Pelodiscus sinensis: one gene and its partners. The protein of the gene in region 1 interacts with the protein of each later gene in a pairwise test. Links are inferred from orthologs where the notes say so. Each region holds a gene or a part of one and is shown in the gene's direction. Other genes may lie near its edges. The genes, in order: ITSN2, WAS, LARP6 and SYNJ2.

Region 1 (7,609 bases):
TCTGTGCATGCGCTGCGCGCCTGGCACCGCGCGCCCAGCACTGCACATGCAGCGTGCGCTCGGGGTGGGGGCCGCATATACACCAGACAGTAAGGGCACAAGAATGGCTCGGGCCAGCCATGGTCACTAGGTGGGCGCACATTAATGCCCCGGCTGGTGCCATGGCGCCCGCAGGCACCGCGTTGGGGACCACTGCCCTATGCTATAAGGTTCCTACTCAGGCTCTGAATCCAGGGGGGAACTAATAAATTCCTGGGATTCCTCTCCTTTCATCCCATCATACCACTAGCTTTTGTAAGACAGCTCCATTGTCAAACAATGGCTGTCAGGGAACATAGAAAAAATATATTGTGTGAAACACATGGAATTCTGGTAACTGCTGTTCAGATAGCCAAAAATATTTTGGCCTTGGAAAGGGTTCAGAAAAGGGCCACTAAAATGATTAGGGGTTTCAAATGGGTCACATATGAGGAGAGGTTAAAACGACTGAGACTTTTCAGTTTAGAAAAGAGGAGACTGAGGGGGGATATGATAGAGGTCTATAAAATCATGAGAGGTGTGGAGAGGGCCGATAAAGAAAAGTTATTTATTAGTTCCCTAAATAGAAGAACTAGAGGACATCAAATGAAATTAATGGGTAGCAGGTTTAAAACTAATAAAAAGGAAGTTCTTCACACAGCGTGTAGTTAACCTGTAGAACTCCTTGCCAGAGGAGGCTGTGAAGGCTAGGACTATAGTAGAGTTTAAAGAGAAGCTAGATAATTTCATGGAGGTTAGGTCCATAAAAGGCTATTAGCCAGGGGATAAAATGGTTTCCTTGGCATCTGTTTGTCAGAGGCTGGAGAGAGATGGCAGGAGACAAATTGCTTGATCATTGTCTTTGGTCCACCCTCTCTGGGGCACCTGGTGCTGGCCACTGTCAGCAGACAGGATACTGGGCTAGAAGGACCTTTGGTCTGACCCAGTACGGCCGTTCTTATGGGACTGGGCCATCTCCTCTCCCCAAAGGTGGTTCTTATTTCACCCTGGATTGATTCAATAATGAGTTATTTCAGAGAGTATTATGAAGACAACAATTCTGATGAGGAATTTCATAAGATCTTCTCAGTAACAGTAATCACACTTCTTTAAAGTTCAGTCATGAAATATGTAGCCACCAACTTTCAGTGCAATTGAAATAAAAATGTAGCCCTAAAATATATTATGGTTTTGTTCAAACTATTTTGCACACCTTTATACATCAGATTTATACTTAATTGTCAGCATGTAGCTGCGAACAGTCATTCTCAATCAGTAGTACATCAGCTCTGCATGCCTCCAAGGGTACATGTACTACTGACTGTTGTAAAACTAGGCAAATATCTCTAGATATCTCTTTAACAGCTGGATATTTGCCTAGTTTTACAACAGGCTACAAAAAGCACTAGCAAAGTCAGTAGAAACTAAAATTTCATACCTATAATGACGTGTTTATACAGCTCTCTATATACTATGTACTGAAATGTACACATAATATTTATATTCCAGTTGGTTTATTTTATTAATTTATTTTATTAATTATATGGAAAGTCATTAACAGTGTACTAACACTTTTGCATTTTTATGCCTAATTTTGTAAGCAAGTAAGGGAGGTGAAACTTGAAGTATGCAAAACAAAACAGACTCCTGAAAGTCTGGGAAGGTTGAGAGCCATTAGTCTAAAATGTTGTGAGGGGTGTACCTAAAGTAGTGCAGTACAGGAATAAGTAAGACCCACCAGGATTGGGCTGTAGTCTTCAGGAATTAATCTTTATTTACATATTAAGATTTATGATGTGTGAGAGATCTCCAGGAATACATCCAACCCAAACTGGCAACCCTAGAAGGCTACTATGTTAGATTCATGGGGGGATGGATAGGCAAAATTCTCTAGTTACTATAAACATAACTGTAACAACAGGTCAAGACTCACTACCATGGCACCTCCTGCAGATCACACTGGGAATTAGTTCTGTCCTCAGCAGGGCACTCCATTCTGGCCAGTGTCTCTCTCCATGCTCTCCCTGCGCTCTGCTTTGGACCCACTTCACTCCCAGGACCATAGGACACTGCCCACCACACTGGTTTCTCAACCCCTTTTTCCCCTAGGTATTATCAGCAGTCCTTAGTCTCACATCTGCCATCATGGCCAACTACAGTCTCACTTTAGTCCCTCAGCTCAGGGGCAAGCCACAGTCCATAAAGGTCACTTCTCGGTGTGACTAGGTGCAGTGTAAGGACCCCAGGCCCACCCACTACTCTAGGTCCCAGATCAGGGACCCTCTGGCAGCAGTCTTGTCCTGCTCTCCTCTCTCCCACTCTACTGCCTTCTGTTCCCTGGGCTACTTCCCCTATGACCCTTGCACCTTCCTGGCCCCTGTATCAAGGCCTGCAGCCTGGCAGATATCAGTCTGGAGCTTTTCTCCTGCTCCCCTAAGCCTGCCTACCACTACTTCCTCTATCTAAGATGTATCCTACGGAACAAGTGCTGCATCCTCCCTAGTCATCTTCCAGCTGCTTACTGTGCTCCTGAGCCCTTATTCCTCAAAAAATGAGGTATACAGACTCTTGAACTAAAGGTTGTTTTTTTTTCCAACAAATGGCCCCGTCTACACAGGGCTTTTTATCACAAAAACCTTTTCCCCAAAAAGGACTGGAAGATATGCAAATGAGAGCGTGATATAGGCAAATAAGTGCTCAATTTGCATTTCCTCTTCCACAAAAATCCTGCAGTGTAAACATAACCTGAGTCTCAGGCATTGGTTCTATATTCAGGGGCATTTTTTGCCTTTATGCCTTGGCTCTGCACCTTAGGGCCTTGTTAGTCACTATGCTGTGGCACCCCACCCAGAGGCACCGTGAGCCTGTATAACCTATGATACTTTATGGGGAGTACCCAGTTACTGCCTCCCCTTAGCATGTTTATGCCTCCTGGAGTCGCTCCCCAACTTCACTGGTCTAGGTACATCCCATTGTCTCTTTACAAGTTAACAACAGATACACTCTAACTCCCTTTCCTCCTCTCCGCCCCGCCCTCCTCCCCATCTTTACGGAGTATTCAGACCCTACTCAACTGGATACTCACAGTATTCACTACTCCCACAGGAGCGGTACAGTTTATCAGTGTATCAGATATACCTTAGATCACAGTTTCATGTAGCACACTGTGATTATATAAGTTGATAGTTTAAAAAAAAAGTTTATTTAACAAAGCATAGAGATTTTAATGAGAGAAAGGAGACATATTGGAAGTAGATGGCTTCATATAAAATAAAATCATAATACACATTCCAGAACATAAACTTATTTATCTAGACGCTTTAAGCTGTTTTACAACAATATTCATCCGAATTCCTCCTAGCATTATAAAGCCAGGCTTGACTGTGATTTTTCCTTTAGGAGACAAGTCATGCTATTGGCTTGCCTCTTTGGTGGAAGATATTATGTATCTCCCCGTATTACCTAATATACCATCCTGATGTTTTGGTTTTAGTCATGAACAGGGCACACCCCTGTGGATTTATTTCCTTATAGATATTCTCTCTTGTAGATTTTGCAATCTTACATCAGGTATCTGGCTTGCTGTGCAAACAGACATCCTTTGCAAGATATACAGTGCACAATACACACGTGACCAGAGACGACAGCCCTCTGCTACTTGGCTGTCTGAAAGAAATATGTCCCAGGTATATCCCTAGTGACATGTCTTACTTAACTCCTTTAAGAACATATTTTTCAGTTTAGATATATAATTCCTGAAATATTACCTTTACATGCAACAGTGACTGTTGGTAGGGATCTCCCATGTCACCATTTGGTGAATTATTAAGGCTACAATTTAGTCACAGTATTCAAAGATTCTGTGACTTTACTGGACCTCCCTGACTTCTGCTCCAGCTGTCAGCAAATGAAGTCAGGCCTAGAGGTGGGGACTGTATGCCCCTACCCTGTTGCAATTAGATGGATGGCTGGAACCAGGATCCTGGAGCCCCTGCCCTGTAGTTTGCTGGGGACTGCAGCCAAACTGGGCTCTCCTCTCCCGCAGCTGCTGCCAGCTCTGGAGTGGGAGCTGTGCAACCCCTGTGGCTGTGCTCCCTCTACCCCTGCTGTGACCCAACCCATGTCTTTTGTTGGGGACTGCATTGTGGGCCGCATGTCCCCCTCGTGCGTCCCATGGCTGTACCCCACCCTTGGCTGCAGCTGTGCCCATGCATCCTTGTCCTGCAGCTGTGCCCAGCTCCAGAGCAGAGGTAGAGCACCCTCTATGGTTGCAACGCACCACAACCTACAGCTTTTTTTGGGAGGCTGCGCTATAGCCTGGGCCGTACAACCCATTCCTGAGGGCTGATGTGACAAAATCTTAGCCTTAATTATGATGCATATTTCCTACCTGAGAGATCCTCGTGAAACTCTACGCCCCCGTCCTGTGCCGTCTGCCAACTGGCACCAAGTTCCTGGGGTACGTACCTTGGCTTGGCACCCAGGGCCCTGTAAGCCCATATCTCAGGCCTTGGTCCCACACCTGCCCATATCTTGAGCCTGGGACATACACCCTGGGGTGCTGTTAGGCCCTTCTATGCCTTGGTCCCACACCCAGCTGCTGTCGGCCTGAATCAGGGCTGGCCCCGAGCCCAGAGGGGCTGCTCTCACTTAGTCCCTGGGCCCCCTCTGGGCTCATCCCTAGGGCCCCGGTCGCACACCCAGGAGCCCCGCTGCTGGCCCGTGTCCGCGGGCAGCTCCTGCTCCCTCCCCCTCCTGCCGCAGCTCGCCTTCTTCCTGCGGGCCAGGCCCCCGCCTCCGCCGCCATGTTGTCGGGCTGAAGCCGCCGCAGGAGGCAGAGGGAGCGAGCGAGCGAGCGCCGAGCAGAGCAACAGGTACCGCGCTGCCCGGCTGCGGCCTGAGCCGTAAGGGGCCGAGGGAGCAGAGCCGGCTGGGTGAGCGGCCTCGGCCCCCGCGGGGGGACGGCGGGGTCTGTGCGGAGGGTGGGAATGGGGCGCTCTTGCTGGGGGGCCGAGGAAGCAAGGTCCGGGGGCACCGGGTCGTGAGTGTGTTGGGGGTCTGGGGAGAGAGGATTTGGGGGGGCTTGCAGGGAGAGAGGATTTGGGGGGGTTCGTTCGGGGGCCACGAAGAGGGAGCCGATAGGGGTTGCTGTGGGTTGGGTTAGGCGGCCCAGTGTGGGAGCAGGTAGGAGAGGTAACATGTCCTTGTTTGGGGGGGGACCCAGGGAGGGAGCAGGTAGGAGAGGTAACATGTCCTTGTTTGGGGGGGGACCCAGGGAGGGAGCAGGTAGGAGAGGTAACATGTCCTTGTTTGGGGGGGGAACCCAGGGAGGGAGCAGGTAGGAGAGGTAACATGTCCTTGTTTGGGGGGGGGACCCAGGGAGGGAACAGGTAGGAGAGGTAACATGTCCTTGTTTGGGGGGGGGGACCCAGGGAGGGAACAGGTAGGAGAGGTAACATGTCCTTGTTTGGGGGGGGGACCCAGGGAGGGAGCAGGTAGGAGAGGTAACATGTCCTTGTTTGGGGGGGGGGACCCAGGGAGGGAGCAGGTAGGAGAGGTAACATGTCCTTGTTTGGGGGGGGGGACCCAGGGAGGGAACAGGTAGGAGAGGTAACATGTCCTTGTTTGGGGGGGGGGGACCCAGGGAGGGAGCAGGTAGGAGAGGTAACATGTCCTTGTTTGGGGGGGGGGACCCAGGGAGGGAACAGGTAGGAGAGGTAACATGTCCTTGTTTGGGGGGGGGGGACCCAGGGAGGGAGCAGGTGGGGCGCCCTTGCTTGGGAGGAACCCAGGAAGGGAGCAGGCGGAGGGGGCGTTGGTTGGGGGGAGCGCTGCTAGGGGGTGCCCTTGATTGGGGGGGAGTGCAGGAAGGGAGCAGGGAAAAGATGAGATATGTCCTTGGGGAGGGAGAGGGAGTCTAAGGGGAAAACATAGGGGGTGCCTCTGATGGCGGGGTGGGGGAGCTCTCAGGGAAGGAGCAGGTAAGGGTGTGCCCTTGATTGAGAGAGTCCTGGGGAGGAACTCTAGGGAGCAGTTTGGGGGCTTTTGTGAGCAGTAACCTGAGGGGAATGGCCTGGGGAACACATGACTGGGATTTGAAGTGTTTAGTGAGGTAATGTTTGTGGCTGCTTGTGAGTGATTTAAAGGGCAGAATGTGACCGTATGAGACCATGATGCAGCCCATCAGTTCCACCTCTAGTCTGTTTCATTTGTCAACTTGGAAACCTTACCTGAGAGATTTTTCCCCCTCTTCTTTGAAGTTTTCTCTGGGGAATGGGGTTGGGATTTAGTCTTCTCCAGTGTAAGCACCTCTTGCATAGTATAGCAGGAGAGAGACAATCTTTGATTTTGTTCATTTTATTTAGCTCACATCACAGTGAGCAGCTGGGTACTGCAAAAAAGTTTCAAACCACAGTAACTGAAAATAGAACCTTAACAACAGAATGGGCAGTGGATGGGGAAATGTTTCAGGTTTGTGGTTTTTATTAGGTTGAACAGACATTTCTTTTGCATTAGAAGTTCTTCCTCTCTAAAAATAATGAAGTACTTATCTCTTTTATGAAAAGTAATTTTTTTTAACAATCAAAGCTCTTGTGAAGATCTTGCATTTTACCCCAAGGCTCCTTTTCAATACAGCTGATAAGTGCTGTGTTCAGTTTCTATAGGTTTTACACTTACATTTTAAAGGCTGCCAGAAATGAGTGAGACAAAATACAGGACTATGTAGCACTTTAAAGACTAACAAGATGGTTTATTAGATGATGAGCTTTCGTGGGCCAGACCCACTTCCTGAGGAAGTGGGTCTGGCCCACGAAAGCTCATCATCTAATAAACCATCTTGTTAGTCTTTAAAGTGCTACATAGTCCTGTATTTTGTTTCAGCTACACCAGACTAACACGGCTACATCTCTGTCACTATCAGAAATGAGTGAGGATTGTTTACAAATTTCCCCCACACATGTTCTCTCTGATTTGGAAGATGGAGGAGTAAATTACTGATGCTAGAACACTTTGATGTGTTTCTATGGGAACTAATTTTCTTCTCCTAAGAGTTGGTTTCATTGTTTCAGTAGTAAAGTGTGGATGGCAAATTTTATAATCTGTGTATATGTGTTATAATCTGTTGAGAAATAAAGATGGTAGCACTGATTAATAGGTTCAGAATTAAGTAAGAATCAAAATACAGAATATCTGTGCCTTGAGAGTTTACAGTCTGTAAGAAGATAAAACATTGGTAATGGATGAATAGATGAATTGTACTGGGAACCTCAGAGAATGGAATAATGAAGATTATTATAATTATTGGCTTACTTCTTAGGCTCCTGTGAAAACCTATAATTAGAAGAAATTAAGAACTGATGAAAACTAAATTCCATGGTTAGTGCCTTAGTAAATGATGTCCTTTTTTCTGTCTGTTTATGACATTGTCATTTTTTCTCAGGAAATTAAATGTTGCTACCATCTAGGGAATCTGGTTGTGCTTTTTAAGCATTAATATAATGTGAATAATAAATTTAAAATATATGATTTGCAGATAGTGTCACACCACTCACAGGTAGCAAAATTTGAAAGTAGATTTTACTTTTAATAA
Region 2 (7,063 bases), on another chromosome or scaffold:
TGCCTTAAATCCCCCCCCGGGGGGGGCAGCCCCTCAGAGCCTCCTGGCTACACGACACCCCTCTCCTGTCCCCACCCCGAATTTAACCCCAACCCCAGTGTCTGTGTCCGGGCCATGGTGGATTTGCTCCCCCTCCCAACTGGACCAGGGTCCTTCTCTGGTTGCGGCCCACGGAGCTGGGAGCCGCATCCCATCCAGGCTGGGACACAGCCGCTTTATGGGGTGGCCGGGGGGACCCCCAAAGAAACAGCACCCCTCTTGCCCTGGGATCATAGAATCATAGAATAATAGGACTGGAAGGGACCTCGAGAGGTCATCGAGTCCAGCCCCCCGCCCTCAAGGCAGGACCAAGCTCCGTCTACACCATCCCTGACAGATGTCTATCTAACCTGTTCTTAAATATCTCCAGAGAGGGAGATTCCACCACCTCCCTTGGCAATTTATTCCAATATTTGACCACCCTGACAGTTAGGAATTTTTTCCTAATGTCCAATCTAAACCTCCCCTGCTGCACTTTAAGCCCATTACTCCTTGTCCTGTCCTCAGAAACCAAGAGGAACAAATTTTCTCCTTCCTCCTTGTGACACCCTTTTAGATATTTGAAAACCGCTCTCATGTCCCCCCTTAATCTTCTTTTTTCCAAACTAAACAAGCCCAGTTCATGAAGCCTGGCTTCATAGGTCATGTTCTCTAGGCCTTTAATCATTCTTGTTGCTCTTCTCTGTACCCTTTCCAATTTCTCCACATCTTTCTTGAAATGTGGCGCCCAGAACTGGACACAGTACTCCAGCTGAGGCCTAACTAGTGCAGAGTAGAGCGGCAGAATGACTTCACGAGTTTTGCTTACAACACACCTGTTGATACAACCTAGAATCATATTTGCTTTTTTTGCAACAGCATCACACTGTTGACTCATATTCAACTTGTGGTCCACTATGACCCCTAGATCCCTTTCCGCCATGCTCCTTCCTAGACAGTCGCTTCCCATCTTGTATGTATGGAACTGATTGTTCCTTCCTAAGTGGAGCACTTTGCATTTCTCTTTATTAAACCTCATTCTGTTTACCTCTGACCATTTCTCTAACTTGCTAAGGTCATTTTGAATTATGTCCCTATCCTCCAAAGAAGTCGCAACCCCACCCAGTTTGGTATCATCTGCAAACTTAATAAGCGTACTCTCTATCCCAATATCTACATCATTGATGAAGATATTGAACAGTACGGGTCCCAAAACAGACCCTTGAGGAACTCCACTTGTTATCCCTTTCCAGCAGGATTTAGAACCGTTAACAACAACTCTCTGACTACGGTTATCCAGCCAATTATGCACCCACCTTATCGTGGCCCTATCTAAGTTATATTTGCCTAGTTTATCAATAAGAATATCATGCGAGACCGTATCAAATGCCTTACTAAAGTCTAGGTATATGACATCCACCGCTTCTCCCTTATCCACAAGGCTCGTTATCTTATCAAAGAAAGCTATCAGATTAGTTTGGCATGACTTGTTCTTCACAAACCCATGCTGGCTATTCCCTATCACTTTATTACCTTCCAAGTGTTTGCATATGATTTCCTTAATTACCTGCTCCATTATCTTCCCTGGGACAGACGTTAAACTGACCGGTCTGTAGTTTCCTGGGTTGTTCTTATTCCTCTTTTTATAGATGGGTACAATATTTGCCCTTTTCCAGTCTTCTGGAATCTCCCCTGTCTGCCATGATTTTTCAAAGATCATAGCTAAAGGCTCAGATACCTCCTCTATCAGCTCCTTGAGTATCCTGGGATGCATTTCATCAGGACCTGGTGACTTGCTGACATCTAACTTTCCTAAGTGATTTTTAACTTGTTCTTTGTGTATCCTATCTTCTAAACTTACCCTCTCTCTGCTTGTATTCACTACGTTAGGCACACCTCCAGACTTCTCGGTGAAGACCGAAACAAAGAAGTCATTGAGCATCTCCGCCATTTCCAAGTTCCCTGTTACTGCTTCTCCCTCCTCACTAAGCAGTGGGCCTACCCTGGTCTTCCTCTTGCTTTTAATGTATTTATAAAAGGTCTTCTTGTTTCCCTTTATGCCTGTAGCTAGTTTGATCTCATTTTGTGCCTTTGCCTTTCTAATCTTGCCCCTGCATTCCCGTGTTGCTTTCCTATATTCATCCTTTGTTAGTTGTCCTAGTTTCCATTTTTTCTAGGACTCCTTTTTTATTTTGAGATCGTGCAAGATCTCCTTGTTAAGCCAAGCTGGTCTTTTGCCATATTTTCTATCTTTCCTACACAGCGGAATTGTTTGCTTTTGGGCCCTTAACAACGTCCCTTTGAAATACTTCCAACTCTCCTCAGTTGTTTTTCCCTTCAGTCTTGCTTCCCATGGGACCTTACCTACAAGTTCTCTGAGCTTATCAAAATCTGCCTTCCTGAAATCCATTTCCTCAATTGTGCTGGTCTCCCTTCTACCTTTCCTTAAGATCATGAACTCTATTATTTCGTGATCATGGTTGCGTCCGGGTACACGCAGCACGAGGTGCACTTCTTTTGGCAGGAAGGGGCTCTGTATAGCATCAGGACCCCGGGGTCTCGCGCCGGCTCTGGGAGGGGAGTGGGGTCTAGTGGTTAGGGCTGGGAGCCAGGAAGCCCCAGTGACGAAGTTCCATCGCTCCCCTATTCTCCTCCTCCTTGTGCTGTGGGCGTATCTTGCTTGGCCTCCCCCAAAGGAGCGACATCGGCCCGACTTTGGGGCCTTCATTTTGGAAGGAAGCGTTTGAGCAAGAAATACGCTTCTTTTCCCCGGCTTTTTGTCCTTCCCCTAATCCCTCCCCCCGCCCCAAATCCAAACCCCTCAAACCAGAAAATTCTCCTTTCAAACAAATCCCCAGCCCATGTTTTGATTTCTCCAGAAAAAGTGGGGGCTTCCCTCCCCGACATATTACAGCCCTTCGATTCCAGGTCTGGCCCAGAGACGAAGAAAACCATCATGTTTTATGAGCTGGGTGGGGGAACACCCCCCTCACCCCAGATTTCAGCAGCACAATCCAACTCCGAGCGACAAAGATACCTTTTATGGGGTCGCCATTGGCGGGGGGGGAGAGACGTTTCGAGTTTCCCCGGGGCTCATGTCCTTCCTCCGGGACTCGATCTGATCAAAGATACGACCCCCTTCTCCCCCATCTTGGCTCTGTGTTTGTTGGACGTTGCTGCCCCTCCCCGCAAAATGCCCGTTCCCTGACGAGAAAGCAACCAAAAAAACCCATTCACAAAGCGGGATTTTTGCCCAGATCTGAGGCCTGAAAACACCTTTTTAAAATGTTGGGGCCACTTTCCCAAGGGTCAGGTTTCCTTTTGGGGGCCTGGCGTTGCCTGTGGCTCGTATTGCATGTTGCAGGGGAGGAGGGGCTGCAGGTGGAAAGGTCCCGAGTTGGTATCTTGGGCTTGGTGAATTCAGAACCTTCTTAGCAGAACTCCGTGTGGGTACAAAACTGGCACCTGCAAAAGTCCCGCGGCTCTCCACAGCCACCGGTGTGCTCGCTCCAAAATTCGTGTCTGCCTCCATGCGCCATGGATTTCTGCCGGCACAGCCACTGCTACTGGCAGGTTCGCAGGGCTCTACTCCTTAGACTGGGTGCCCGGCTGGGCTGATCGCTCTGGGGCCATCTCTCCCCCGACGAAAATCTCCGTCTCCCCGGCACCTTGGCCTGCCGATCCTGCCTGGGTTCACGCAATTCCAGAGGCTCCAGATTTCGGGAGGGGAGTGATAAAAGAGCCCCTGGCAGTGGCCAGCTCTTTCTATTGGACACTCAGCCTGCTCCTGCTCCCCCCCAGCACAAAGCGCCGTGGGGGGCGGGATGGGGGGAAAGAAACGCAATGTGAACGTGACGCAGGGCGCCGGTGGCTTCTGTACGGTAGTTCTGGGTTTCAATAAACAGCAACCGGACTTTCCCCTTCCTGAGTGTTTTGTGGGGGGCGGGGGGAGAGACATTCTGGGAGGGGGCAGGTGGGGGGGAAGTGGGGGGTTATGGAGGGAGGAGGGTGGGCAGATGGAAAAGGGATTGGGGGGATTGTAGGGCAGATACAAAGGTGGGGGGAAGCCCTAACTACGTTACCCCCCATAGAGAGGCACCTGGAACCAAGCCCCTCCTCACACCTGGCCTGGCTTGGGGGGATCCCCGCCACCTACAAGACGCGTTGGGCTCAGAAATTCCCCCCCGCCCCAGCCGCCCCCAAAACGGCTGCAGAGGACCCTGCCCCCAGCAGAAACAACACTGCCTGAGTCTGCCAGGAGCCTGCGCTCCTTGCTCGGCGGGGCCCCCGCCATCTCCCCCCCGCTCGGCGGGGGCCCCTTGCTCCCACCCCCCTACCCTGTTCCCCCAGCCCCGGCAGGGACTGTTCGCAGAGCCCAACTTCCCCTGGCCGGTGGTTTCTGTTGCGCTTCCTGTTGGATGTGACGCGGAAGTTGGCCGGGTCGCGAGCGGGGAGGGGAGAGACCCCAAGAGCCTGCTGTTGGGGCGGGTGCCAGGAGCCAGCATGAGCCGAGGGGCCCGGGCCGGGGCCCGAGCGCAAGAGAACGTCCCCTCCTGTCTCCTCCTGGACCATGAAAACCAGCAGGTGTTTGAGCTCCTGGGCCGGAAATGCACGGTGAGGGCCCATGGAGTGAGGGGCACCGGCAGGGCTGGGGGGCGGGAGTGAGGGGCACCGGCAGGGCTAGGGGGCGGGAGTGAGGGGCACCGGCAGGGCTAGGGGGGCAGGGGTTGGGGGGTGGGAGTGAGGGGCTCTGGCAGGGCTGGGCGGTGTAAGTCTGGAGTAAGGGGAACCCCAGATCTTGGGTAGGGGAAGCCCAGGGCTGTCAGAGGCTGCTCATTGGGAGCAAGGGGCACCGGCAGGGCTGGGGGGGCTGGAGTGAGGGGCACCGGTAGGGCTGGGGGGCTGGGCTGGGCTGGCAGAGGAGTGATGGGCCTTGCTTCCTGGCCCCCTTTCGGCCATGCAAATGGCGCTTGTGGGGCTGGTGAGAGGCCCATTGGGGTCCCGCCGGACGCCTGAGGCCAACACCGGAGACGGGGACAGGAACTGTCAGCCTGGGGAGCCGTAGTCAGGCAGGGTGCAGCTGTTCCCAGCCACCCCACCCCAGAGCTGGCTGCATCAGCCGCCATCTCTCTGTAACTCGGATGTCTCTGGCCCAGACCCTGGCCACGTCCGTGGCCCAGCTGTACCTGGCCCTGCCCCCCAACAGCCAGGCCTGGGGCAAGCAGGGCTGCGGGGTCCTCTGCCTGGTCAAAGACAACCCCCGGCGCTCCTACTTCATCCGCCTCTTCAGTCTCAAGGTGAGTCCCAGCCCTGAGAACCCGGGAGTCCTGGTTCCTCTGCGCTAACCACTAGCCCCCGTTCCCCTCCCAGAGCTGGGCAGAGAACCCGGGTGTCTGGGCTTCCCTGCGCCAAGCACTGGCCCCGCTCCCCTGCCGGAGGCGGGGCGAGACCCCCAGGGCGTGTGCCAGGGTTCCCTTCTCTTGCAGGAGGGCAGGCTGACGTGGGAGCAGGAGCTAAGCAGCCTGGAGGCCTATTCAGCTGTGTCTGCCTATTTCCACACCTTCCCCGGGGACGTGAGTATCTGCCCCAGGAGGGCGGGGCGCGAGGGCGGGGCTTCCAAACCGAGCCCCGCCCCCGGGACACAATTTCAGAGACGGGATAAAAGGAGAAAACTGAGGGTAACAAATAATAGGTAGGGCTAGGGACCTCTCCTGGCTCTGGGGGGGAGTGGGGCCTAGGGGTTAGAGCAGGGGGGAGGGAAGCCAGGATGCCAGTGTTCTCCCCTGGCTCTGGGAGGGAAGTGGGGCCTAGTGGTTAGCGCGGGGGGGGCGGGAGCCAGACGCCTGGGTTCTCCCCTGGCTCTGGGAGGGAAGTGGGGCCTAGCAGTTAGAGCAGGGGGAAAGGGGCTGGACGCCTGGGTTCTCCCCTGGCTCTGGGAGGGGAGTGGGGCCTAGTGGTTAGCGCAGGGGGGGCGGGAGCCAGACGCCTGGGTTCTCCCCTGGCTCTGGGAGGGGCGTGGAGCCCCCCCGGACTGGCGAGGTGCCGATTGCTCCCAGGAATGCCAGGCTGGGCTGAACTTTGCGGACGAGGCCGAGGCTCGCGCCTTCCACATGGTGGTGGAGGAGAAGCTCCAGAAGCGCCAGCACAGGATGGGTGAGTGGCAGGGCAGGCGCTGGCCCCCCTGGAGGGGCAGGGCCCCGGGCCCCTTCCCTGGCCCCCCTGGAGGGGCAGGGCCCCGGGCCCCTTCCCTGGCCCCCCTGGGCCAGTATCCTAACGCGCTTTCTGCTCTTTCCTCAGAGAAGCGGCAGCTGCCCCCACCCCCCCCTCCAGTCCCTGAAGGTGAGTCCCCCGTGATCCCGCCGCCCTGCGCAATGGGGCGGGGCTGAGCCCCCCAAGCTCTCCCGTGGGGGAGGGGCTGGCAGGTCTAACACGGCTCTTTCTGCCTCCTCCAGAGCGCAGGACGACGCTGCCCCGATCCCCGATTGCCGGGGGGGACATGAACGGTAAGCGCTCGGAGGAGGGGGTCTGCAAAGGGCTACCCGAGCCCCCCGCCCGCTCCCTGTCCTCCAGGGGAGAGCCCCGGCCCTGCTCCCCACAGCCCCCCCTTTCTTTCCCACAGGTCCCAGCAAACAGCCGAGTTCCCCCTCCTTGAACCTCATTACCATGGACATCCAGAACCCGGACATCACCTCGTCCCGGTACCGGGGGCTGCCGGTGCCCCCCGCTGCCGAGAAGAAGAAAGGGAAGAAGAAGATCTCCAAGGCTGACATCGGCGCCCCAAGCGGCTTCAAGTGAGAGCAGGGGGACGGGGCACTGGGCTGGCCTGAGGGGGCGCCGGCTCCCGCCCGGCCCAGGACAAGGGCTGGCTGGCTTGTGGGGCGGGGAATGGGACAGGGGCCTGTCCCCTCCTGGGGGTGCCAGCTCCCACCCAGCCCAGGACAAGGGCTGGCTGGCTTGGGGGGCGGGGAATGAGACAGGGGCCTGTCCCCTCCGGGGGGTGCCGGCTCCCACCCGGCCCAGGACAAGGGCTGGCTGGCTTGGGGGG
Region 3 (7,100 bases), on another chromosome or scaffold:
ACAATGAGGGGAAAGGGCAGGAAGAGCAGGGTGGGGAGGAATGGGAAGGTATCAGTGGGGGTGAGAAAGGGGAGGAGACAGGGTAATGCTGGGAGAGGAGAGGGGAGAAGTGGGTGCCAGAAGAGGGGTTGAAAGGAGGGATAGGCATGGGGAAGGCGGGGGTTGGAGCAAGTCATGTGTGAGGGCGCAGAGGGTGGTGAGAGAGTAGGCACCAGAAAGGAAGTGGGCAAGGGGGGCAGGTGTTGGGAGGGCAGGGGCAGTGAGGGAAGGGGGAGGCACCATGAAGGTGCAAGGGGTAAGGGAAGCTGCAGGTGCCAGAAGGATTGTGGGGGTGAAGCAAAAGGGCAGGCATAGGGAAGGGAGTAGAGGGGAGGGACGGACACCAGAAGACAGAGAGGAAAGGCAGGGAAGGTGGGTAGACAGAAGTATTACAAGAAGAAATGAGGAGGGGTGGGTACAAGTGGGAAGGGCAGGTGCAGGGGTCAGAGAGGATGGGGAGATAGGGCAAGTTCCAGGGGGGGCTGAGGGGAATGAGAAGGGCAGGAACCAGGAGAGCAGAGGAGGGTGAGGCATGGGGGGGCGGCAGCAGGCATCCGAGGAGCCCATGGGACAAGGGGAAAATGGGAGACATGGCAGCAAAGGGGAAATGGGAGAGGTTTATAAGTTGGGTGCCACGGTGGTATACCTCTGAACAAGCGCACATGACCTCAATATTGATGCACAAGACAAAACTCACTCTGTTCATGGACGGAAAATCTTAGAAGGAAGACTGCCCACCAGTAAATTCTTTAGCAGACTGGGCGGCAGCCCGGCTCAGTTCTGGCTCACATCGGGTCCAGAACCTATCCCCGCTGTGGCCCTGCATTTAAAGTATATTAGGATCCAGGTGGGCAGGCATCCCAACTCAGTTCCAGCTTGCACCAGGTTTGGGAGCTCAGCTCCCACCCTCTTCCACCCCCCCAGATGGGGGCTGCTGCCACCCCAAGTTCCTGCCTCTGTATCAGAGGCAGCAGCACAGAGTGGCATGGGGCTCCTTGGGAGGGGGATGAGAGCTGCCACCCCCACCCCCAGGGACTATAGAATAACCAAGTAACTGATAAGAATTCATGAGGTAATCGACTATTCAATTAACCAATATTAACATCCCTATACTGAGCCATGATTACTTTCATTTCTGGCCAAAGAATAGGAGTCCTCGGGTAATTTTACTTCTGTCCTCTGTATATCAGACTGGTCAACTATATAACTGGATAGTTTCCACTCGTATCAGGTCTGATCCTGTCCCCCTGAAAGGCTGGCAGACTCACACTGACTTTGGTGGTACATAAATCAAACCCACAGTACTTATACCCATGTCTTTCCTGGAACCAGTTTTTATGACTAATCCTACTCCCAGTCAAGTCAATGTCAAAACTCCACTGATCTCAGTAGGGCAAAGTTGAACTCTTCGGGTACGTCTAGACTACATGGCTCTGTCAATGGAGCCATGTTGATTAGGCAGGACGGCAAAGGGAAATGAAGTTGCGATTTAAATAATCGCCTCTTCATTTAAATCAAAATGGCCACCACACCGTGTTGATCAGCTGATTGTTGGCACAGCGCGGCAGTCTAGATGGGAATCTGCCAACCCCAGAACCCTTCGTCAGCAGATCCTTTATGCCTTGTGAAACGAGACTTACAGGATCTGCCGACGAAGGGTTCTGGGGTCGGCAGATCTCCGTTTAGACTGCCACGCTGTGCCGACAATCAGCTGATCGGCACAGCACAGCGGCCATTTTGATTTAAATGAAGAGGAGATTATTTAAATCGCAGCTTCATTTCCCTTTGCCATCCTGCCTAATCTACATGGCTCTGTCGACGGAGCCATGTAGTCTAGACACACCCTTTGTCTTACCTGGGCCAACATGATACAATACTTGAAGACACATTTGTTAGTTGCACAGTTACATAAGGAAGTGTTGTTTTTTTTTAATGAAACAAAAATAAGAGCACCTAACATTTTCTCCACACAAAGCATGTTAAAAATAAGCCAAAAACCATCATGGCAGATGGTGATTTTTATTACATTAAATGCTAACAGATCTACCACCAGAATACTCTTTGCAGAGTAACAAATCTCAGAGGCTAACACAGTCAGCCCTCTATATGTAAAAACGAGGAATCCTGTGGCACCTTAAAAACTTACTGATTTATTTGGGCATAAGTTTTCATGGATCAATACCATTTCAGTTATGAATGAGCCTGTAACGTGCCACAAAACTCCTTGTTTTTATTCTTTGTAGAGTGATAAAAATGATAAATGGCATCTAATGGCAATGAACATGTTTGCAAATTCAGAATTTTAAATAGTGGACAAATGCACTGAAATGAAGTATGACTTTCACTGTATAAATGAGGGAACCAAGAAAGATACTAAGAAAGAGAGGAACTGTACCAGACACAACAGAGATTCAAAATCCTAGCTTCCACCACATGGTTCATGTGAGAACAGTAATGAGAGAGAGATCGATCTTGAGGATCTTCCCCAATTAAGGAATAAATGTTCTTGTGGTAAAATTCTACATTCTAGGTTCCAATCCTGGCTGCAAGCACATCCATGATTTACTTTAAACTTGGAAACAGACCACTCAAGTCAATGGAGCAACTCCTGCGATCCAAATTAAGCATGTGCATAAGTGTACTTTGTTAGCTGCTCAGAGCTCAGGCCATGTTGATGTAAAGCTCTGTAAAGCACTATTCCCATCTATTATCCTATAAAACAAAACATATGCAGTCATTTCTGTTTATTCACATTTGTTATCTTTCTGAAACCTTTACAACCTCAGAAGGCATAGAATAAACCATTTTTATTTTCCAGAAGATGAGACATAAGATAGAATTCAAACTCAATTTAAAACAACAGTCATGAGTTCCTTTAGGCTGTTCATAGTTACCACATACTTCTTTGTATGACTTTCACGTTATACTTTGGAAGCTGTGCAGTTATTTATGAAGTTATTAGTTGCAAAATCACATTAGGTCTCAAAGCTGCGGACCAAGATAAATAGCATATTGTAATATATTTAGCAAATCAAGGAATAGACAGAAGACAATCATAAATCCAACTGGAATATGTTGAACCCTTATAGCTGCACTTTCTTGATAACCCCATCATTTTCTAATGAAATTACATTTTTTAAAACATGTAATTCCTACCTCTTATGGTTGTCAAGCCAATCTATTTTGATCTAATGAAACACTTTCTTCAAATAGCAGGAAATAATTCATGTGATACAAGTGTGAAGGGATGCCAGTCATCTCATGGAAATGTTACCTCTGAAACCTACCAATAACATAATACAACAGTAATTATTTGACTGATAATAATTTTGGCAGGAACATGCAGTGATTGAGTTTGAGTAGCGTGTCAGCCCTCTGTCTATCCTCCTCTGTCCCAAACTGAGGTTGAGTTATCACACATTCCCTGGCCTGCAAGCCCCTGAACGTTGGCACAGAGCAGCCAGATGGAAAATGTGAAAATCAAGACAATGAGGGGGATTATAGTTGTTATGTAAGACACAACACCTAATGTCGGCAGGGGGCTGATGACGTCCAGAGGTTTGGTCACCTCGCTATCTTGGATGAAGGGATTTCTCGGGCCCCTCCTGCATACATGGGGTTACATAGAGGCTGCGAGGAGGAGAAGTCTGGCAAACAGTGACTCTGCTTGAAGTGAGGGCAAGGCCCCTTTCCTGCCTCGACAAAGGAGCGAGCCCGTCTCATGGAGACTCACCCAGCAGAATCCTTGGGAAGCGATCTGTGCCGCCAGCGCCACCGCTCCGAGAGGGGCCAACACGGGGGAGACGCTGTCCCTAGGCCGGTGGAGCCCGGGCCCCACGTCCAGAGCCTCCCCACTCTTGCGTGGGCGCGTGAGGGGGCCTCTGCCCCACTCGCAGACCCCTCCCCCGTGCCCGGGCTGGGAAGTCTGTGCCTGCCCGGCCTTCCCCCTTCGCCCCGCCGGCGCCCCTGCGTGGAAACGCCGCGGGCTGCCCGGGGAGGGCGGGCCCGGCCGCCCAGGAGAGGAGGGGTCTGGAGCGGGGCGCAGCCGGGCTCGGAGGCGCCGCGGCAGGAGAAGGCGGCGGCTGCAGGCGGCCCGGGGGCAGCGCTGCTCGGCGGGCTCTGCCCATGGCCGAGGTGCCCGAGGCGCGGCCCGGCGGCCCGGCGCGGATCCGCGTGGCCCTGCAGGCGGAGCAGGGCGGCGGGGCGCCGGGCGGGGGCAGCTGTAGCGAGGATGCCAAGTCCAGGTACCGCGGCCCGGCAAGCGGGGCTGCTCCCCGGGGGGCGGGGCGCGAGCGGGGGTTCGCCCAGCCACGGGCCGGCGGGGCCCGCCTGATGCAACCAGGGCTCGGACACAGCGGCCGGGCCAGCGGGGACTTGGTGCAATTCGGCCGGGACGTTGCACCAGCGGCCCCGCCCCGCGACGCGCGCAGGCGGGAGGCTCCCGGGCCCCGGCCCGCTGGCGGGGAGCAGGGCGGGTGGCTGGCGCTGGAAAGCCGCGGGCGGGGGCCCGTCAGGGAAGCCCGGGTCCCGCAGTGAAACGAGGCGCCGCTAACGGCGCGGGTGGGTCTGCGGGCAGATGCGCGTCTCCCAGCCTCGTGGGTGACAGCCGGGCTGCAGGGACCCGCGGAGACAGCGCCCAGTGCCCTGCAGAGACACAAGCCCCAATAAAGCAGCCGAGTGTTGGGTCCGACCTGTCCTCCGCTTCCTGGAGAGCTTAACAACCTCCTGAGCCCTGGACACTCAGCCGGCTCGTCTGTGACTAAGGCAGGATGGTGCGAGGAAATCGTGAAGAAGTCTGGAAAACGCCGACCCGAGTTATCCTTTGCCAATGTATTGCAGTGCGGAAATAGAGAAGGCAAATATGTTTCCTGGCTGGGGGGAAAAGAGGATGAAATATCCCTGGCCATGACTCACCTAGAGAACCTTTCACAAAAATTATTGGTTAGGTGTTTCCTTCTGAGCTGGGGACTTTTCTAATCTGATTGAGGAGGTGATGTTTACATGGCAAGAGTTGGGGTAGGAGGAGAAAGGAGGATTAGAACCAATTCAGTCCTTAATGCTGCCTCAAGGCACTAGTGTGTTGCTGTGATTGGAAGCTATTTCCATCATTGCTCATTAGCACAATTGGTTTATCAGTCTCCTTCTGAAGTGTGACGCACTAGTCAGCTCACCAAGGAGTTACCCTAGAAATAAATGAATCAAAGGCCTCATGACAGCTCAGTCCAACGGCTTTATTTCAGATTAAAACTGTAGTAATGAGCTGGGGCATTCCTGCCAGGTGGGGTGCCGGATGCTCTTAGCAAAACTCTCTGCTCTGGAAATTAGAGGGACTTAGGTCTACTACTAGTTTCTTGTCCTGACACTACAGTCTGTTCTGTAATTATGCAGCATTATGTAGATGAATTACTTGTAGGCACAATATTCTTCCTGTCATGTGTACATCCCAGTGGCTGTAATGATCTTTTGAGGATTGCTGATAATGTTATTGTGACAACCTGCTTTTACGAAGTACAGTTTGTGCAAATTTTATTACACATGGAAGCAAAGTCTGTTGGATTAACTGAGACATACAAACACATTTAAACATGAGTGAATTGGGGCTGTATGGTGCCTAACAATGAGTTAATAACACCTGAACATGTTTTCTAAGGCTTGGTCAAAACACATTCTTTTGTATTAGTACAACTGTTTCAGTTAAGGATGCGAGTGGTGGTTTGTTTTTTTAAACAGATCTAGTTACACTAGTATATCTCTGGTGTGGAATCAGTTATACTGATATAAAAGTGCTTTATGCCACTATAGAATATTCTTTCCTTACAGGAATAGACATAACATTATAATTGTGTGCACATAATGGGCTGGACTGATCTGAGCAAGCCTATACAACCTGTATAAAGACAATAAGACTACGCATTTTTTCAAGATAGACAATACCATTTTGGTTGTGGGGCAAAGTCTCTGTGCTGTGTAAAGAAAAAGGTGTGTACAGGCAGTCCCCGGGTTACGTACAAGATAGGGACTGTAGGTTTGTTCTTAAGTTGAATCTGTATGTAAGTTGGAACTGGCATCCAGATTCAGCTGCTTACACTAATTTCGGTCAAACAAAGTTGCAGCACTAGAAAGTAAGACACAAAGGTTTCCTGGAAGGACACCAGTGGTCTTTCTAGCAATGTAAATCCAGGTAATCCATCTCTGTGAGCAGTATTATCTAGGCCAACTAACATATTCTTCCTCTGACCTAACTGCATCCACACAGGGCTTAGGTCATCTTAACCACAGTACACAGGAGGATGAATTTTTCCGAGCCCCTGACAATGAAGATTGTAATACTCAAATCTATTTTGGTGGCTGGGTAATTGAAAAAGGTTACCAATGTTTTTCTAATGAGAAAGTTTCCCTTCCCGTACACAGAAACAGCTTAACTGTTTTTGCTCAAATTTAAAAATGTTGGGGCACAGACTAAGACTGGAAATCTTCAGCCTGATAGGTGAATGTTTTGTGATGTTATGATATTCTAAAATAGTGCTTTAGAGAGGAAATTGTTTTGCAATTTGAGAGGCAGTAATTACTGTGGCTCACTGAGGAGTCCACTCCTGAATCCATTTAAATTGATACCAAATGCCTGTTGTCTACAGCGACTACAGCAGTGGCACTGTAGCTTAGAGCAATTCATTTTGCTTGGCTCATATAAGGCAGGATCACTTTCAAATGAATTAAGACAGAGATTTGTCAAGGTTAGAAATGTATCCAAACAGCTTAATATTGATAACCCTACGAGCTTGATCTCCAAAGGACACATTTTACCCACAGTGCACAGATGCATTTGGTTTCCTGCATGAGTCATCTCCAGATGAGTCAACCTAAATAAGTTGTTTTTCAGTCTGCCCATGCAGCTTTGACAATCAAATCCTTGGTAAAAGATCTCCAAGGAAAGAGAAACACTAAATGCAAGTTGTAAACATTATACATCTATTACAGGGGTCCCCAATGTGGTGCCCACGGGCGCCATGGCACCCACTGGGGCATTTATGTGCACCTGCACCAGTGTTTTAAAACAGTCA
Region 4 (7,461 bases), about 98 Mb from region 1:
GACACCTGCAACACCAGTCCCTGCTGCTTGGAAAGCAGTACATAAAGGGCAGCAAATAAAATTTACCCAGGGTACCATTTTCCCAAGGCCAACCCTACTGAGTAGGAAGGAGGGGAGCTATCAATAAGGGAAGGTCAAAGAAAAGAAGAACACTAAGAATGGAGGATGAACTGAGGCATTGAGGAGCAGGGATGGTGTGGTATTTATGAGAATTAACACTATGGAATGAGGGAAGGAAAGCATTTCCAGTTGTTGTAAAGCAGGCTTTTTCTGTCCACGGCCTTTGCGTATAGCCCATCCTGCCACACAAGGCCCCTCACACAAAACCCAGATACTCAGAGGAGCATGGGCAGCACAATGCAGTTTTTGTGAATGGAATTTGACCTTATAGGCATCCTGGAACTCAAAGGCACCAAGAAAATAGGGAGGAAAGCATAACTAGATAACGCCTAGCTGAATTTACAGATAAGCCTCATTTGACCGTAGCTTGACCAGTCTTAGGGGCAAGGGGAAAAAGTAAACATAGGGTAATAAAACACAATTGTCTTACACTAACTATGCCCCATCTGGTCCTGTCCACGAGGGGTTCACTCATACATCACGAAAATTCCTATAGGGCAGTATTGTCATACTACCTCATCACTAGCCTATCAGGCCCTGCCAAATGCAGACCCTAGCATGGCACCAGACACCGAATTTTTGTATAAAAGACCCTCAATCCCTTTGTTCGACGGAGGTTCCATGTATTGAGGGCACGTGTCTTTTTTTTGCCCGGCTAAAGGATTGATCACCCTGAGGCTGCCTCCCCACCCTTCAAGTCAAATATAGGGGGGCACGAGTCCTGAGCATGCTCCGAGTTCTAGGGTGTCTTTCTGTTGTTATTGATTCTGGATTTGTAAGTACTGCTTAAATGTATTAGTTATTGGTTTAATTAATAGTTAGATTGTGTTAATTTCACTGTGTAATTCTGTAAAGCGTATCTAAGTTCTGTTAACCACACTGTGTAAATTGTATAATTTTGTGTTGTGTAGTAGTGTTGTATTTAGGTTAAGTATAAGTGTTAGAAATAGAAGCCCCGGAGTTGTTAAGTTGTAAAAGTAGATTTATGACTAACTCCACCAGCTGCCCTAAAATAACCATAGAGGGGCTGGCTTTGGATGGTTCTTTTATTATCATTACTTTGGCTTTGTTTTTTGTATGCTGCGTTGTCTTAGGCAAATTAAGGATAGTGATTTGATATGAGTGAATTGTAATCAAAGAATTGTAATCAGTTGGGTATAATTGTGCCCAAGCTTTTCTACGCAGTAAAAGTATTGAGCAATCGCTAGTTTAAACACCTATTTGGTAATTATTGGTTTTGACCACTTAATAAAAATCATTTGTTTCACCATCATCCAGTAGTTTTCACTGGGTAGTCAGCTTTAACCCTTGAGGCTCCCGTCACATCACCGAACCAAGGTGCAACACCAGTATGGGGAACATTTTCCTTGAATATGGGACTCTGTCATGTATTCAACACCCATATGTGAACTGGGCCACAGTCAAAGACCAGTGGTGTCTGAATGTCAACTAGAAGGTAAACTTCATACCATAGAACTACCATTTACAAGTGAAATGGATTTACATGCACTACAGAAAGAAGGTGAGTACTATTCAGATATCCTGATTTTGTAGCCTATAAAATAAAAAAGCCTTTGCAAACAGTTCCAATATACCCAGACACTGGATCCCTAATTTTAACACATTCTCCAGCTTTCTTCAGTACTTTTCTCTATTAAGCAGCTTATGTTAGTTGCTTTCTTGACATTTTAAGAGTTCAGCGTAGTCACCTTTGAACAAAAAGCCTATTTGAAAAAGTAATATCCGTCAATTAAAAAAATGCCGACCCACTCACGAATATCAAGTGAGAGAATGAGTTAATGGAGAACTGCTCAGAATGTGAGCTCCCTTAAAGAAGCTCATGCCTTGCCAAAGCATGAAATAAAACTCCCATAAAATAGATTTACAGTCAGCGCTCAACTATATTGCACTGCTAAATGTTCCATCTTCACCTGCCTTTGCTTTTATATCTTGTTCTCTGAACCTGATTTGTTGTGCTTAAAAAAGAGTTTATTGTTCATACCCCAGTCCTATGTCTAGGCAAATATTTTCTTTAACAAGTCAGACGCTGAGCTCTATTAATTATCCTGACTGGTGTGCTCATGTCATAATGTTTTCTACTGCAAGTTACAGGTACAAATGAATTACAAGCACAAATACTGTTGAATCTTTGACATGTCATTGTCCTCCAATTGACGGTAATGCTCCTGCTGATGTACAGAAAGAGTTTATCATGAGAACAGTCTGCTGTAGCAATCATTCCTTGAAGGCAACAGATGCACTTATGTATAAATGAATGAGACCGCACCAAATTAACAAAAGAGAATATTACCTATAAGTCAACCTTCCATCTGATCCCACTACTAAGATTGCCACCATTTAATAACTAGGTCCTTTTTCTTCTAGGGGAAAAAATCATGGGAAAAGATGCTGAAGATGGAAATAGGTTGTTGGCCTGCCTGTCTCTGTACAAGAAACCTATAGCAAGAAAAATGTTCTTGTTCTGTTTAGGATATGAAATAACTTAAAAAAAAACCAGTCTTACAGCACCTTAGAGAGTAACAAAAAATGTAGATGGTATCATGAGCTTTTGTGGGCACAACCATAAGTTTCTTATATCCAGTGAAAACAAACTTTGAACTGCACTTGTATATCCTCTCATCCTAGTCACTAACATATGCCCTTTCCCCCCCACAGACACACATTTAATTTTAGTTATTTCCTCTAGGTTAGCTTTCACACTCATTCACTTAAGGCTACGTCTACACAGCACGGCTATTTTGGGATACCCTGCATCTCCACAAGCTGCCTTTTATTTTGAAATAACGGGCGCACTATTTCACCATCCTGGTAAACCTCGTTGCACAAAGGATAAGGAATGGCTCGAAGTAGCACGTTATTTCAAAAACTGGCACTGTGTAGATCTGCCACATGTAAAATAGTCTATTTCAAAATAGATTCAAAATAAGAAATACAATTTGTATAGCACAAATTGCATATCTTATTTCACATTTAGGGTGCTGTGTAGATGCACTCTTAGTGTGAAAGCTAACCTAGTACTACATAGTGTCCCAAAAATCCTAATCCAGACAATGCCAAATTTAACACAAATGTACTGTTCCCACCAGATCCCATTATTTTCTCTCTCAGAAGTGATCCCGTAAACATAAAAGTCTTTTTTTTTCTTTTAGCTATTGTTACTAAGGTCTAGTCTACACTAAAGATCTATAGTGGTATAACTACATCACTCAGGTTCAGCCATGTGTACACTACAGACCTTGCACTGGCATAGTTGTACTAATGCAGCTGCACCACCATAAGAACAGTCATGTAGTCATTCTATGCCAACAAGAGAAAACTCTCCCATCTGTCTAATAAAACTATCTCAACAAGTGGTGGTAGATTTGTCTCTGGGACAGCTCTCCTTCCAACAACGCAGCATTGTGCACACTACCACTTTTGCCAGTGACATTTCGGTCACTCAAAGGTGTGGATTTCCTCTCGCACCCCTAAGCAACTTAAGTTTTGCTGGCGTAAGCGGTAATGTAGACATGACCTTAGAGTACTATACCAGATTTCGTTTGCTTTGAACTGCAACAGACTATGTTTATACTGTGAGTCCATTCAGGGACTTGCACAGTGGAGCCTTCACTAATACACTCCAGCATTTTTAATAAAATGCAAACAATAGGCAGCATTTTGTATTTCACTGTTTCCTAGAATACCTAAACAGTGGTTCATCCACAATAATGGTTTCCACAGCCACAATTGTTCTGTGATCAGCTAAACTGAGTTTAAGTAACATACTAGGTTGTGCCACACAGCCATCAAAGCTGTGTGTTGCCTATTTGCATATACATGCACAACTATCTTAATATGTTTGTATTATTGTAGTCTGGGAAAATATGGCAGCATTCTTAATGACTCAGCAAGGAAATGTGGGAGGAACCCTGTACTACTAGAAAGATAAGTGGGTTCCTGGACAAAGCTAGGCAAATAATAGATTTTTTTCATATTTGGCAGTTTTAAAAAAGTCATTTTGGATAAGACAATCAATTTTGGAGAAACTGAAAAGTAAAAAAAAAAAATCAGGGTTGAATAAAGCTATAAGTTTCAACAATTTTAAGACAAAATTTAATAAAAACCAAAAACTTTTCAAACAATTGTTTTCAAACAAAAATATCATTATTTGATTTTTTTAATGTGTCTTCTAAGAACAATTTGGCATTTGCAAATGTGTTGTTTTTGACAAACAGATCATTGTCAGAATCCGTATTTTTCTCCAAAAAAAAGTTTAACCTGATTTTTTTTTTGCCAAGATCTGTTCTGGGAGTTGTTAGAGGAAACCAGAGAATTATAAAATAATATACCTGCATACAACATCTTTCAGCCCAAAGCATTTTACAAACAGAGGGTCAGGTGTGGTATTTCCTTTCAGAGTGCAAAGAATTCCAGTATCTATGTATGTAAATGTGTCATCCTACTACTCAACTCTTTAGCCACCTCTGGGGAGGTGTGAGGGAGTAGTTTAATAAGGCTACACGACTGTTTAGAACAGAAAATGAGAAGCAATATAACAAAACTGCATGGGAAAATAAACTGCAATCTTGTAGCCCTGCTGGGCCCAAAATATTAGACACACAAGGTGGGTAGACCAACTAAAATAAAAAATATTTTCCATCATCTACCTTGACTCTTTTGAGAAACTCGTGCAGGCAGGAGCTTGACTTCCACCAGAGCAGGGAGTATTATCTCACGTTCTCAGTGCCAAAGATGTGTTTAATTTATACAGAGTTAGCTAGGATAGATGTTCTCAGTTTATACCAACACGAGTTCCCTATTTGATAGCTTGGCACAGTTTCATGTTAGCATTTTAGTCACTATTTAGCTTGTCTTTTGTAAATTGCTTTGTGCCCTCTTTGCTCTTAGTTCATGTTTGTATAACTCTTTTTGAGCGCCCCATTTGAAAGACGCTAGACAAGAGTGTAGCATTAGTTGCTGTCCTCTAGGGGCGCATCCATCATGCGGTGCAGCGTGGAGAAAAGTTTCGCTTCTTGGGATCCAGATCTGATCTGTGTCAAAGTTGAGTGTCTGGAATGGGGCTTGGGACCTGAGTGGCCTCGTTAGCTCAGATCCGCCTAGAACTACCACTTCATTTCTCCAAGTCAGGCGGGGCGGGGCGCGTCTGCGGCCCCAGCTCCTGTGTTGGCCGTGGACGGCTCCCCTCACCCTGTTTTGTTAGCCTGGGAGTAGCACGGCCTCTGCCGCCTCCTCCCGGGGGCTGTGACATTCCAGCTCCTCCCTCCCGCAGAGCGGGCAGGGGTGGAGACAGGCGGACAATGGCTTTTACCTGTCCCGGAGCGGGAGGAGGAGCCGCCGCCGCCGGAGCAGGAAGGAACAAAGTCAACTCCTGCAAGTTTACACGGGACCGGCGCCGCGAGTAGCCAAGGACTTTCCAGCGGAGCGGAGCCTCCGGCAGCCCAGCCAAGTCACCCTTTGCCTGGGGAAGACTGCGAGGAGCCGGGGCAGCCCGAGGTCTCCGCCCGGAGGCGGTGCTGCGCCTTTTGGTCGCCCGCCGAGTTGCTGGCCACTTTTCCTGGGCTGGAAGCTCGCTACCCGTCTGGGGCGCTCCCCGGCCGGCTCCCGGGCTTGGGCCGTCGTGTGGGGGCGGCGCTGGCTGCAGGGCTCCGTCTCTCTCCTGGAGCGCCGCGGGCAGGAAGGGGGGAGGCTGCGACGCTTTCTCTGCTCCCCCCGCGCTTGGTGCCTGGGTTTGTGGCGGGGAGCGGGAGCGCCCCCCTCCCGGCACCTCCTGCGCCTGCCTCCCTATGGCCAAGCGGCCCCATGGCTCTGAGCAAAGGGCTGCGGCTGCTCTGGAAGCAGGAGCCGGCTCCGAGCGCCCTGCTGGAAGCGCGGGCCCGCCACGACTGCCTGCTGCTGGAGGCCGGCACCGTGGCCACCCTCAGTAAGTGCCTCTGGCGGGCAGGGCGCGCACCTGGGAGCGCGGGGTGGGCGTGTCAGGCTGGGGGTGTCCACGCGGGGACGGACCCCTGGCTAAGGGCTGCGCGTCGAGGGCCAGATTTTCAAAGCGCTCAGTTAGGCGCGCAAATACGGCGCAGGCTTTCTGCAGCGCTCAGCACGTCCCGCGCGGAACCCATTCACAACAGCCCTGCCCAGGTTCTCCTTACACGTGTGGAGGTGTGGGCTGCTCTGCAGAAGGCTAAGCTTAGCTCGAACAGTTACACCTGTCAGTAGTTTCCACCCCAGGGTGGGACAACAGGGCCGGGACAACACTAGACTTTTTTTTTCTTTTGCTACTGTAGGTACAATTTATTAGTAGTGCCAACGGTGAGGACACTAGTGTAGAGAAGGGCCCAAAGATTAAAAGATAGGTAAGCCCTTTACTCTGATCAGCATGGAGTTTGTAGTCGATCACTATCCACTCGCCTCTTCTGAAGAAGTAGCAGCTTTCACTCACGAAGAATAACTGGGGGAAATGATTAGTATTTAAAACAAATCTCTCAAAGATTGTGGTTGGAGAAACAAAGAGGGAGCCATAATCTACAACACAGATTGAGGACCATACAATTTGTGAAAAGGAGGAACATTACTAAAAGTCCAGAGTTACAAGCATAAGCTTGTGCTTAATTTTATTACTATCCATGAATCCGTGAAGCCATGTCAATCTGACTGCCTGGGTACTAAAATTAAGCAACTGCATAAACATTTGCAGGTTTGGTGCCAAAGGGTATGGCACAAAGTTTGTATAGAATTTGTAAACGCTTTGGGGGCAGGAATTGCCATTTATTATGTTTGTCCTGTGCCTACCACAGTGGGGCCCAGCCTGGTTGTGGCCTTTAGATGCTACTGTAATACAAATTTTTAATAATTATACATTTTATGTACATATGTACTTACTTACTTACTGCCCGTTACGCCAATGGCGCATAGGGCAGCAACGAAGTCCTTCCACTTCTGTCGGTCGCAGGCCAAAGCGCCTATTGTTCCCCAAGTATGATGATGGTCTTTTAATTCTTGTTCTACCGTTCGGTGCCAGGTTGTTTTTGGCCTTCCTCTCTTTCTCTTCCCATCTGGTTTCCAGTGGAGTGCAATTTTCGTAATAGATCCGTCTTCTCTTCGTAACACATGACCTATCCATCGCCAGCGTCTTTTCATAATTATAGTGGCCATGTCTTCTTGTTTACACTGATACAGTAGATCTTCGTTGGAAATTTTGTTTGGCCAAAATATCCATATGTACACATGTATTTTAAAATTAATTTTTGCTTTGTAATTGCAAATACAACTAGACTTTTTCCTAGCTGCTCATTAGCATTTCATCTGATCTTAGTAGTCACACAAATA

What was found.
Region 2: the proteins of ITSN2 (region 1) and WAS interact in a two-hybrid assay, tested with the Homo sapiens proteins (2 studies listed by BioGRID). The link is inferred for Pelodiscus sinensis from reciprocal best matches to the Homo sapiens genes ITSN2 and WAS.
Region 3: the proteins of ITSN2 (region 1) and LARP6 interact in a two-hybrid assay, tested with the Homo sapiens proteins (2 studies listed by BioGRID, with this or other methods). The link is inferred for Pelodiscus sinensis from reciprocal best matches to the Homo sapiens genes ITSN2 and LARP6.
Region 4: the proteins of ITSN2 (region 1) and SYNJ2 interact in a two-hybrid assay, tested with the Homo sapiens proteins (2 studies listed by BioGRID and IntAct). The link is inferred for Pelodiscus sinensis from reciprocal best matches to the Homo sapiens genes ITSN2 and SYNJ2.

The regions. Positions count from the first base shown.
Region 1 is NC_134713.1:14,268,399-14,276,007, forward strand, and holds the start of ITSN2 (intersectin-2), read left to right. Parts: upstream 1-4,593; 5' UTR 4,594-4,892; exon of another isoform or gene 4,893-4,952; intron 4,953-7,374; exon of another isoform or gene 7,375-7,395; intron 7,396-7,609.
Region 2 is NW_027466045.1:201,213-208,275, forward strand, and holds the start of WAS (actin nucleation-promoting factor WAS), read left to right. Parts: upstream 1-4,049; 5' UTR 4,050-4,521; coding exon 4,522-4,632; intron 4,633-5,174; coding exon 5,175-5,315; intron 5,316-5,504; coding exon 5,505-5,591; intron 5,592-6,074; coding exon 6,075-6,171; intron 6,172-6,315; coding exon 6,316-6,357; intron 6,358-6,470; coding exon 6,471-6,521; intron 6,522-6,637; coding exon 6,638-6,809; intron 6,810-7,063. UniProt on the Homo sapiens protein: Effector protein for Rho-type GTPases that regulates actin filament reorganization via its interaction with the Arp2/3 complex. Important for efficient actin polymerization. Possible regulator of lymphocyte and platelet function.
Region 3 is NC_134724.1:45,143,467-45,150,566, reverse strand, and holds the start of LARP6 (la-related protein 6), read left to right. Parts: upstream 1-4,090; 5' UTR 4,091-4,164; coding exon 4,165-4,283; intron 4,284-7,100. UniProt on the Homo sapiens protein: Regulates the coordinated translation of type I collagen alpha-1 and alpha-2 mRNAs, CO1A1 and CO1A2. Stabilizes mRNAs through high-affinity binding of a stem-loop structure in their 5' UTR.
Region 4 is NC_134713.1:112,226,178-112,233,638, forward strand, and holds the start of SYNJ2 (synaptojanin-2), read left to right. Parts: upstream 1-4,440; 5' UTR 4,441-5,940; coding exon 5,941-6,061; intron 6,062-7,461. UniProt on the Homo sapiens protein: Inositol 5-phosphatase which may be involved in distinct membrane trafficking and signal transduction pathways. May mediate the inhibitory effect of Rac1 on endocytosis.